Oryzias latipes: one gene and its partner. The protein of the gene in region 1 binds, or shares a complex with, the protein of each later gene. Links are inferred from orthologs where the notes say so. Each region holds a gene or a part of one and is shown on either strand. Other genes may lie near its edges. The genes, in order: myo3b and espn.

Region 1 (3,823 bases):
AAGAAAGCTTTCCACAGCAAATGACTTTCAGTCAACCCCAGGCATGTTTATGTCCTCTGTGTCGCAGAGATGAAGAGGACTCATGCTGATAAAAATCTGTCCTACATAATTTGAAATGATTATTGGCCATTATTACCAGTGCTTGGCAGGATGCCATGCTAAACTGTACGCCAGGATTTATTCAGAAACTCAAACATTTACCACCTGACGTAAATTGAACGTATACTCCTGGGACATTCAGTCTGAGAAGCACGCCGTTGAATTTCAGACTCTGCTTTTCATCTTTTGTAGGGGTTTCAGCTCAGCTGACCAGCGCACGGTTGCGGAGGAACACGTCTGTCGGGACCCCATTTTGGATGGCTCCAGAGGTCAGGGTCAGCATGTTCATCTCTACCAGTGCAGCACTAACGGATGTTCCAGCGCTTTAATGCGTTCTTTAAGCAAGCAAGGTCTTCATGTTGTACAAAGAGAGAAAAGAGGGAGCGCCTCAGTTATTGCAGTCCCTCCTCTGTGTCATTATGTATTCCCCTCCTATTCTCCTCCACGGGTGCAGCTTTTGAGGTTGCCTCAAGGTTAATAGCTGGGAGTCTGAGGCCCCATTGGCTTACTGTTAGGTACAAATGATGTGCAGTGATTGGCTTGGTCAGTAGAGACCTCAGGGACAATTAGAATAAATTCAGCTTTGAAATGTAATGTCAGTTATAATTACGGACTGGAGGGAAGAGTAGCTGCTGAAGTGACTCGGCTTAAATGGCCCATGAATAAGCCTTTTTTTTTGTTTTTTGTTTTTTTACCAGGAGTGAGTAGGATACAGAAAAATTTAGATGTTTTTCCAAAAATAACTCCTGTGGTTTACAGGACTTGTTTCAGCAGTAGAATGACATTTGGTTTATTTTTGGATTGTTGTAAGTCGGTGACAGTCTGAATGAGCTGCTCAGGTGCCCCCTCCCTGTCGTTTCATGTTGGCAGGTCATAGCCTGTGAACAGCAGTATGACTACTCCTATGACGCTCGCTGTGATGTGTGGTCTCTCGGCATTACGGCCATCGAGCTGGCAGATGGAGATCCCCCACTGGCTGAAATGCATCCAGTTAAAGCCCTTTTCAAGATCCCAAGGTGAGTCCAGCAGAGGGCGCTGTGACCATGCAGCTGGAGGCCCCTCACACAAAGGCGACCATTCAGTCAAGACAGTAGATGACAATAGAAATGATGGGAGACAGCAGCTTTTTTTAATTTAATTTAATTTTTTTAAACTTTTTTCTCCTTTGAAATGCAGAATAAAAGCAAACTTGTCTGTTTTTTTATATTATAGAAGTGCATTTAAATATTTGATATAAAGAGCATCTGCTGAGCTACTGATCATTGCAAACACTAAAAGAAACCATGCTTTTATCTTAAAAGTGTTGATTTCTGCTCTGTGCCTGATGATCACGTGAGGCTTCAGTGACCTTCCTTTATCGGCACAATCCTGCAATTATCTCACAGTTGGGCTGAGATACATTTTCTGATTGCAATTTGCATTGGTGATTAGCTTCATTCACATTGAGATGAGCCTGCCACCTCCTCCCCATCACAATATTACCCCCGCCCTGCCCAGACAGAGCATGGCTTGTGTTGGGAGAATTACGCGAGTTGCTGCAGCCTTGCATTAGCACCAAGTTTGGTCCAGACTGAGCAGTGATTATAAGAGAAGGGCTGTCTGATAGCAGGGCGGGGCAGTGCTTTTTTTCACTGTTCTTGTAACGAGGACTTGTTGCTTTGGTGAGGATTGTTTAAAGTATCCATCCATCTTCTTTGTCCTGTCCAGGGTCATGGGGGTTACTGGAGCTAATCCCAGCTTCTTCAGGGTTAAGTCAGAGTACACCCGGGACAGGTTACCAATCTAATGCAGGGCCACACACAGTCACTCATCCTGTGGATCAAATCGCCAATCAAGCAAGCATGTGTTCAGGACTGAGGGAGTAAGCATATAAAGTAAACACATGTATGGGAAAAAAATGCAAACTTAACCAGGATTTAAACCACAGATTTCTTACTGCAAGGTGGCTGTGCTAACGTGCAACTGAGGAATCACCTTTTATTTTTTACTTAAGCTCACCTCAGATGATGCTACATATATCTAGAGCTGACATCCCTGACTCCACACTCCTGGAGAAATTTATGTTTTGGCCTTTTGCTATGAATTGGGACCTTAAAGGTTTAGTGGTTCTGTCATAAATTTCACTGAATCCACCCAGCCATGAAGCAGTTCTGGTAACATGTCACTTATCTTAAATATCTTCTCCACGTCCCTGGTTTCAAAGTCAGAACAAAGTGCAAGACTCCTGAATGAATTAGTTTTTAAATAAGGGACTGTGCTTCGTACTTATATTTTGGTGTGAATGCCCCAGTGACCCATAAAACCAGACAGACCAGCTCTATGTTTAATAATAGCAAACTTAACTTCACCAGTTCTGTGTCCTGATGGTAGAGTGTTTATCCTCAGTCTAGAGATCATTGGTTTGAGTTCATTGCAAGACCCTTAAAATGGAACCCAACACCTCCCTGGTTGACCTCTCAGCATTAAAGACCCACTCCGATCATCTTTTGATCTGTTTTCAAAGTGTTTCCAAAAAAACTGTCATTTTCTAGTACATAATATCTGCAGAGCAGCAGGAGTTCATTAGAAATCACCTCTGAGTTGTGGAAGAGACCTTTGGTGCAGAGCAACCCTGCCCCCCTTTCCCTACTCATTGCTGATAGCTCTCTGTTTATGCTCTCTCCCAGTAGCGGTTTTAGGCACGGGCCATACGGGCGATCGCCCGGGGCGGAAAAATGACGGAGGGGCGGCGCCAGCGGCTCAGCTCTTGTAAAATACTTTATGCATCACTATTGGTTTACTTATATCACAGAGTTTGTAACAGCCTGAAACCTGGCGGCGGCCCCGCCCCGCAGCTGCGCTCCCTGCTGTCTTTGAGAAGTAGACGCAAATGTGTGTGAGAAGGAGAAGGGAGGGGGCGCGGGGTGAAGAAGGAGAAGGGAGGGGGCGCGGGGTGAAGGGTGCAGGCTGAGGTGAGCACGGAGCACAAAACGCATGCGCAAACCTGGCTGGATCTTCTTCCAGGGGGGCAACGGTCGCGGGCCGCGGCTCAGTGCTGGATGAAAAAATAAAAATAAAAATCGCGCCGCCATGTAGCGAATTGGCGCCCCTGGGTGCAGCTGCACGCGCTCCTGCTGGAAATGTTTGACGAACGGGAGGGGGGGGCTGCGGGTATAAAAAAAGTATAAAAAAATCATGCTTTTTTGGTTATTTCAAATAAAAAATGGGAAAACAAAAAAAAATTCTTCACTTAGATGACAGTTGGTTTAGTCGACAGACTTGATACCTATGTCAGGACATTTATGCTAAATGCAAAAACATCTGAAATATGGAGAAAAAAGGTCAAAGCTGGTGCCCAATTTAGAAAGAAAAGAGAAGAAGAGGAGAAAAGAGACAAAGAAAAGGTTATTATCGCATAGCTAGATGCACGTTTTCTAAATTCGAATGCTACCTGCCCTACAACAACAACAACGTTGCAGAGGAAAAATCTCTTGTTTGGTCTATCATGACCAAAACTGAAGTAGGCCCAAATATTGCAAATAACGTCATTTTTAAGATATTTATTCTTCAATGTTTGCTCTGCCTTAACTTGTAACATTAGTTATGATTCGTGTGTCTGTCTGCTCTGCTGTATCACAAAGTTTTTGTTGCGTTTTATTGTTGTATATTAGTTCATAATGTTAAATAAGCTGTGATGGTAGCATGCTGCTGCTGCTGCTGCTGCTGCTGCTGCTGCTGCTGCTGC
Region 2 (3,823 bases), on another chromosome or scaffold:
GCGGATCCAAGCATCAGAGCCAATGATGGGATGACCCCTCTGCATGCTGCTGCTCAGATGGGGCACAACACCGTCATTGTCTGGCTGGTGCGTTACAGTGTGTGGATACTGTACGTCAAATGATCATGCCTTGGTCACAAGGGTCCTTAAGGGCGAATATAGGCTGTCTGCAGGTGAAAAATGGGCAAAACCTGTATGTGTCACGTAGGTAGCCCGCACAAAATTTTAAGATCGTAGAGTCCTAGACCATTCGGTGAGCAAAAATGCTCCTGCACATTTTTTCTACGGGAATGCTACAGGTTGTAGTGTCCATTTAAAAGCAAGGGTAAGTAAGTAAGTGAAAATGGCGAGACACAGATTGTGTGAATTTTCAACCCCACACAAATCCTCCACCAGCACAAGGGGACATTAGTGCTGATCAAGTGATAATTGTGCGCTCCTAGCACACATCCTGACAGTGTAATTTCCTAAATTCTAAAAATCTGTGTAGTTTGTCTGAGCAAGGGGCTAGTATTCATACTTTACTAACAACTAGTGCAGGGATGGCCAACTCCACACCTCAAGGGTCACATTCCTCCATGTTTTCCAACATACCTTGCTCTGGCATGTTCTAATTGGCTGGACACACCTGAACCAGGTAATCAGTCATGATTAGGGCTTGGATATGTAAAATCATGCAGACACACCAGCCCTCGAGGCCTTGAGTTGCCTGTCCCTGGACTGGGGGACCCTCCACAGGGGTCGTACGGGTCAATGCCCATAAGGGTGCATGTGACTAAGGCCTTACTGTTGGTACAAGCTATAACTTGCTTTCATTGCAAATTTACACATTTGTTGTACATTGGATGACGAAATAATGCAAGTTGTATTCTGATGTCTGTCAACTAGAAATTATAATTTTAATAGTTTGTTTACTTTTTACTGAAACATTAGTCGGAATCTTTAAAGCTTTAGAGTTAACTTTAAAGTTAACTACATATGTTTAAAATTCTTGACTCACTTTGTGCTCCTTTTTCTTTCGTTTGCGCTTTGACAACATTCTGTTTTTACACCAACAACGGAAATCTCTCAGAAGGACAAAAGCTTGGGGTCTGCTGTTTGTGCTTATAGACGAGCTTCACTGAGATCAGCCTGACAGACAAGGACAGCGATGGAGCCACAGCCATGCACTTTGCTGCCAGCCGAGGCCACGCCAAAGTGCTCAGCTGGCTGCTGCTGCATGGAGGGGAGATTGTCATCGACCACTGGGGAGGGACCCCACTTCATGATGCAGCAGAGAATGGTGAACTGGAGGTGGGTGAAGTAATTAATAATAACTAGATATCTTTTTTAGAAAAACAAAAGCTGATAGCACTCACATATTTTTACAGTCCTTTAAAATAAGAGGAAATTTTATACCACATGGAGATTAGAATGATGTAATGGAAGCAGTGTGTAAAGGGTAATGCACTATTTGTGCTTTATTCTTGAGGTTTAGGTTTTACAACCATCTGTTTTAAATACATGACTTCTGGGTTGCTGATTTCACCATTTGACCCAACTGCTTTGACTAACTGTTTGCTGTAACCAGTTCTGGTTGTAATGACCACATGTCTAATGTTTACAAAGCAGAGCACAACGCAAGGAAATAGCATAAATACTTTTAAATGAATTGACAGAAAAAACAAATGTAACACACCAAGCAACACTTATGCTCATCAGTTTGGGATCTCTGGATGTTTTCAAGAAAAAAAATGTTTTTCTTGTCTTCAACTTTCCTAATATTTCTTTAACCCTCAGTTATTGATTCATTCAATAAATGTTACTTTATTAGTGCAATCTTTCTTTATTAGTACATGAGCTATCAGGTTTAATGAATATGCTCTGGAGCCAAATTTGGCCCTTGAGTCTTATTATGTTTCTGCTTGATTTTTATGTTTGACTTAAACAAACTTTGCATAAATACTCCACACTGATGGGGAAGATGCTGCCTTACAAATGAAGAGCAAGAGTTTGATCAAACTTCAAACCTTTTCTGGTGTGATTTGTTATGGCAGCTTAAAAACCCCTAAAGAAAATTCTCATCCTTTTTTACTTCATCTCTGATTCTGTCTTTGTTTTCTCCTCAGTGCTGTCAGATTCTTGTAGTGAATGGAGTGGATCTGGGTATAAGAGATCAGGATGGCTTCACAGCGGCAGACCTGGCAGAATACAATGGCCAATCACAGTGCGCAAAATATCTGCGCACAGTGGAGAACATGGTAAGAGCTCTCATCAAGTCCTCACATTGTCTTGAAACTTGACCTCTGACCTCTGTATGAACAGAACCCAGCTGTGAGGTGATGTCAGACAGCCTTGGATGTCAGTCCAGTGAAACTTCTGCTGTCAAATATAATGTTGACATTTTGTACATTTATGTGTTACTTATGTCACAAACTATGACATGGTAAAATGAACAGCTGGATGATAACATTACCCATTACTTTAGATGCTAGTAACCTTTTTAAAATTTGAAAATAGCATTTAATCTATACAAATGAAAAGGTACAAAAATAGCTGCAGGAAAAAAGAATATTAATCAATCATTGCACCTTAAGGGAGCAGCTGTTGCTTTGGGGGAAACCAGCTGTAGGTGACTGGTTCAATTCCTATCTTTGGGAACTAATGTTTCTTTGACAAAGTCACTGAACTCCGGAGTACTACTGATTAGGGATGTTAAGGATACAGATATTTATTGAAAAATCGATCTAGTTATGAGAGTAAGAGCAGTATTGGCTCAAACCACAGATGTGAACAGGATTATGTTGGTAAAAAGATATAATATTGATTGGAAAGTAAATGATAAGTTTCTAACAAACTTAGTCAGTTTTTCTTCCTGTTGTGGTCACGACTGTCTTTTGTGTACTTGTGATGCAAACAAAAAATGTCCAATTACAAGCTTGCTTCTACCCAGCAGGTTAAATACAATTGGCTGAAGGGGTGTCATTACACTTTTTTTACAGCACTTCAAACAATACCTAAATAAATTATTTTATAGGGCCTATATCATGCTAAATCAACTTTTTGAGATTTTAAGTGTATAAAAATGTTTATACCTGTAGAAAAACACCCCCAAATTGCTCCATTCACACATCTTTGAGTATTCCTCTAAAACCCTGCTCTCAGAAAACGGATGGGTCCTCACTTTGCAACGTAACTAAGTGGGGAACAGACTAAGTGGGGAAGAGTCTGCGCTGCCAGCAACCCCCCCCCCAAGCTAACACAAACAGCCACTTTCTCCGTAAAGGTGATGCCTCAGAGATTGAGTCATCTTACTTCTGGGTAGGAAAATGAACTGCAAAAATAACCCAAATTTCATTTAAAATCGTTCTTTGGTATGTCAAAGGTAATATATTATATATATGGATGTGGTTTACCCTGAAAGGCTTAAAAATACCATGATATAGGCCCATTAAATACAAAGACCAAAACCATCTAAAAGGTCCAAAATGCCAGGTTTTATTGTTAAAAGTTGTTATATGGAAGTTTTTTTCCAGTCATAATTCAAAATAATATGCACTTCTCAATTGGCAATTCAATTTACAATATGTCAGACATTTTTGTTACTTAAAATAAAAAGTGCCTTTAAGAGGAAAAAAAGAGTTTCTCTGTTAAGATCCATTTTTATCTATAGTTTTAAATGCCAAATGCATGATAAATATCTAGATGGGATCTACAGTATTTAGGTAAAAGAATTAGGCTGTATCGTGTCACCACAAGGTTACAAGAGTATGTATCGATTTGCGGACCACGTATCAAGATGTATATTGAATCATGTGATAGGATAAAATGCATACCTCTCCCA

The links.
Region 2: the proteins of myo3b (region 1) and espn are in contact, whole or in part, in a crystal structure (PDB 5ET1), measured with the Mus musculus proteins. The link is inferred for Oryzias latipes from reciprocal best matches to the Homo sapiens genes MYO3B and ESPN. Residues at the interface, in XP_017174528.1 of Mus musculus: Arg1223, Arg1224, Gln1226, Gln1227, Pro1228, Lys1229, Met1230, Leu1231, Ser1232, Ser1233, Asp1236, Thr1237, Met1238, Tyr1239, Tyr1240, Asn1241, Gln1242, Leu1243; in NP_997570.1 of Mus musculus: Leu35, Ala37, His41, Arg45, Ala67, Asn69, Ala71, His75, Asp76, Ala79, Thr80, Asp101, Ser103, Leu110, Arg113, Phe114, Thr135, Thr137, Ala139, His143, Tyr144, Ala147, Thr169, Asn171, Tyr177, Leu178, Gln181, Ala203, Asp205, Met207.

The regions. Positions count from the first base shown.
Region 1 is NC_019879.2:21,807,097-21,810,919, forward strand, and holds part of myo3b (myosin-IIIb), read left to right. Parts: intron 1-291; coding exon 292-368; intron 369-969; coding exon 970-1,115; intron 1,116-3,823.
Region 2 is NC_019865.2:7,840,657-7,844,479, reverse strand, and holds part of espn (espin), read left to right. Parts: coding exon 1-87; intron 88-1,110; coding exon 1,111-1,293; intron 1,294-2,108; coding exon 2,109-2,240; intron 2,241-3,823. UniProt on the Homo sapiens protein: Multifunctional actin-bundling protein. Plays a major role in regulating the organization, dimension, dynamics and signaling capacities of the actin filament-rich microvilli in the mechanosensory and chemosensory cells.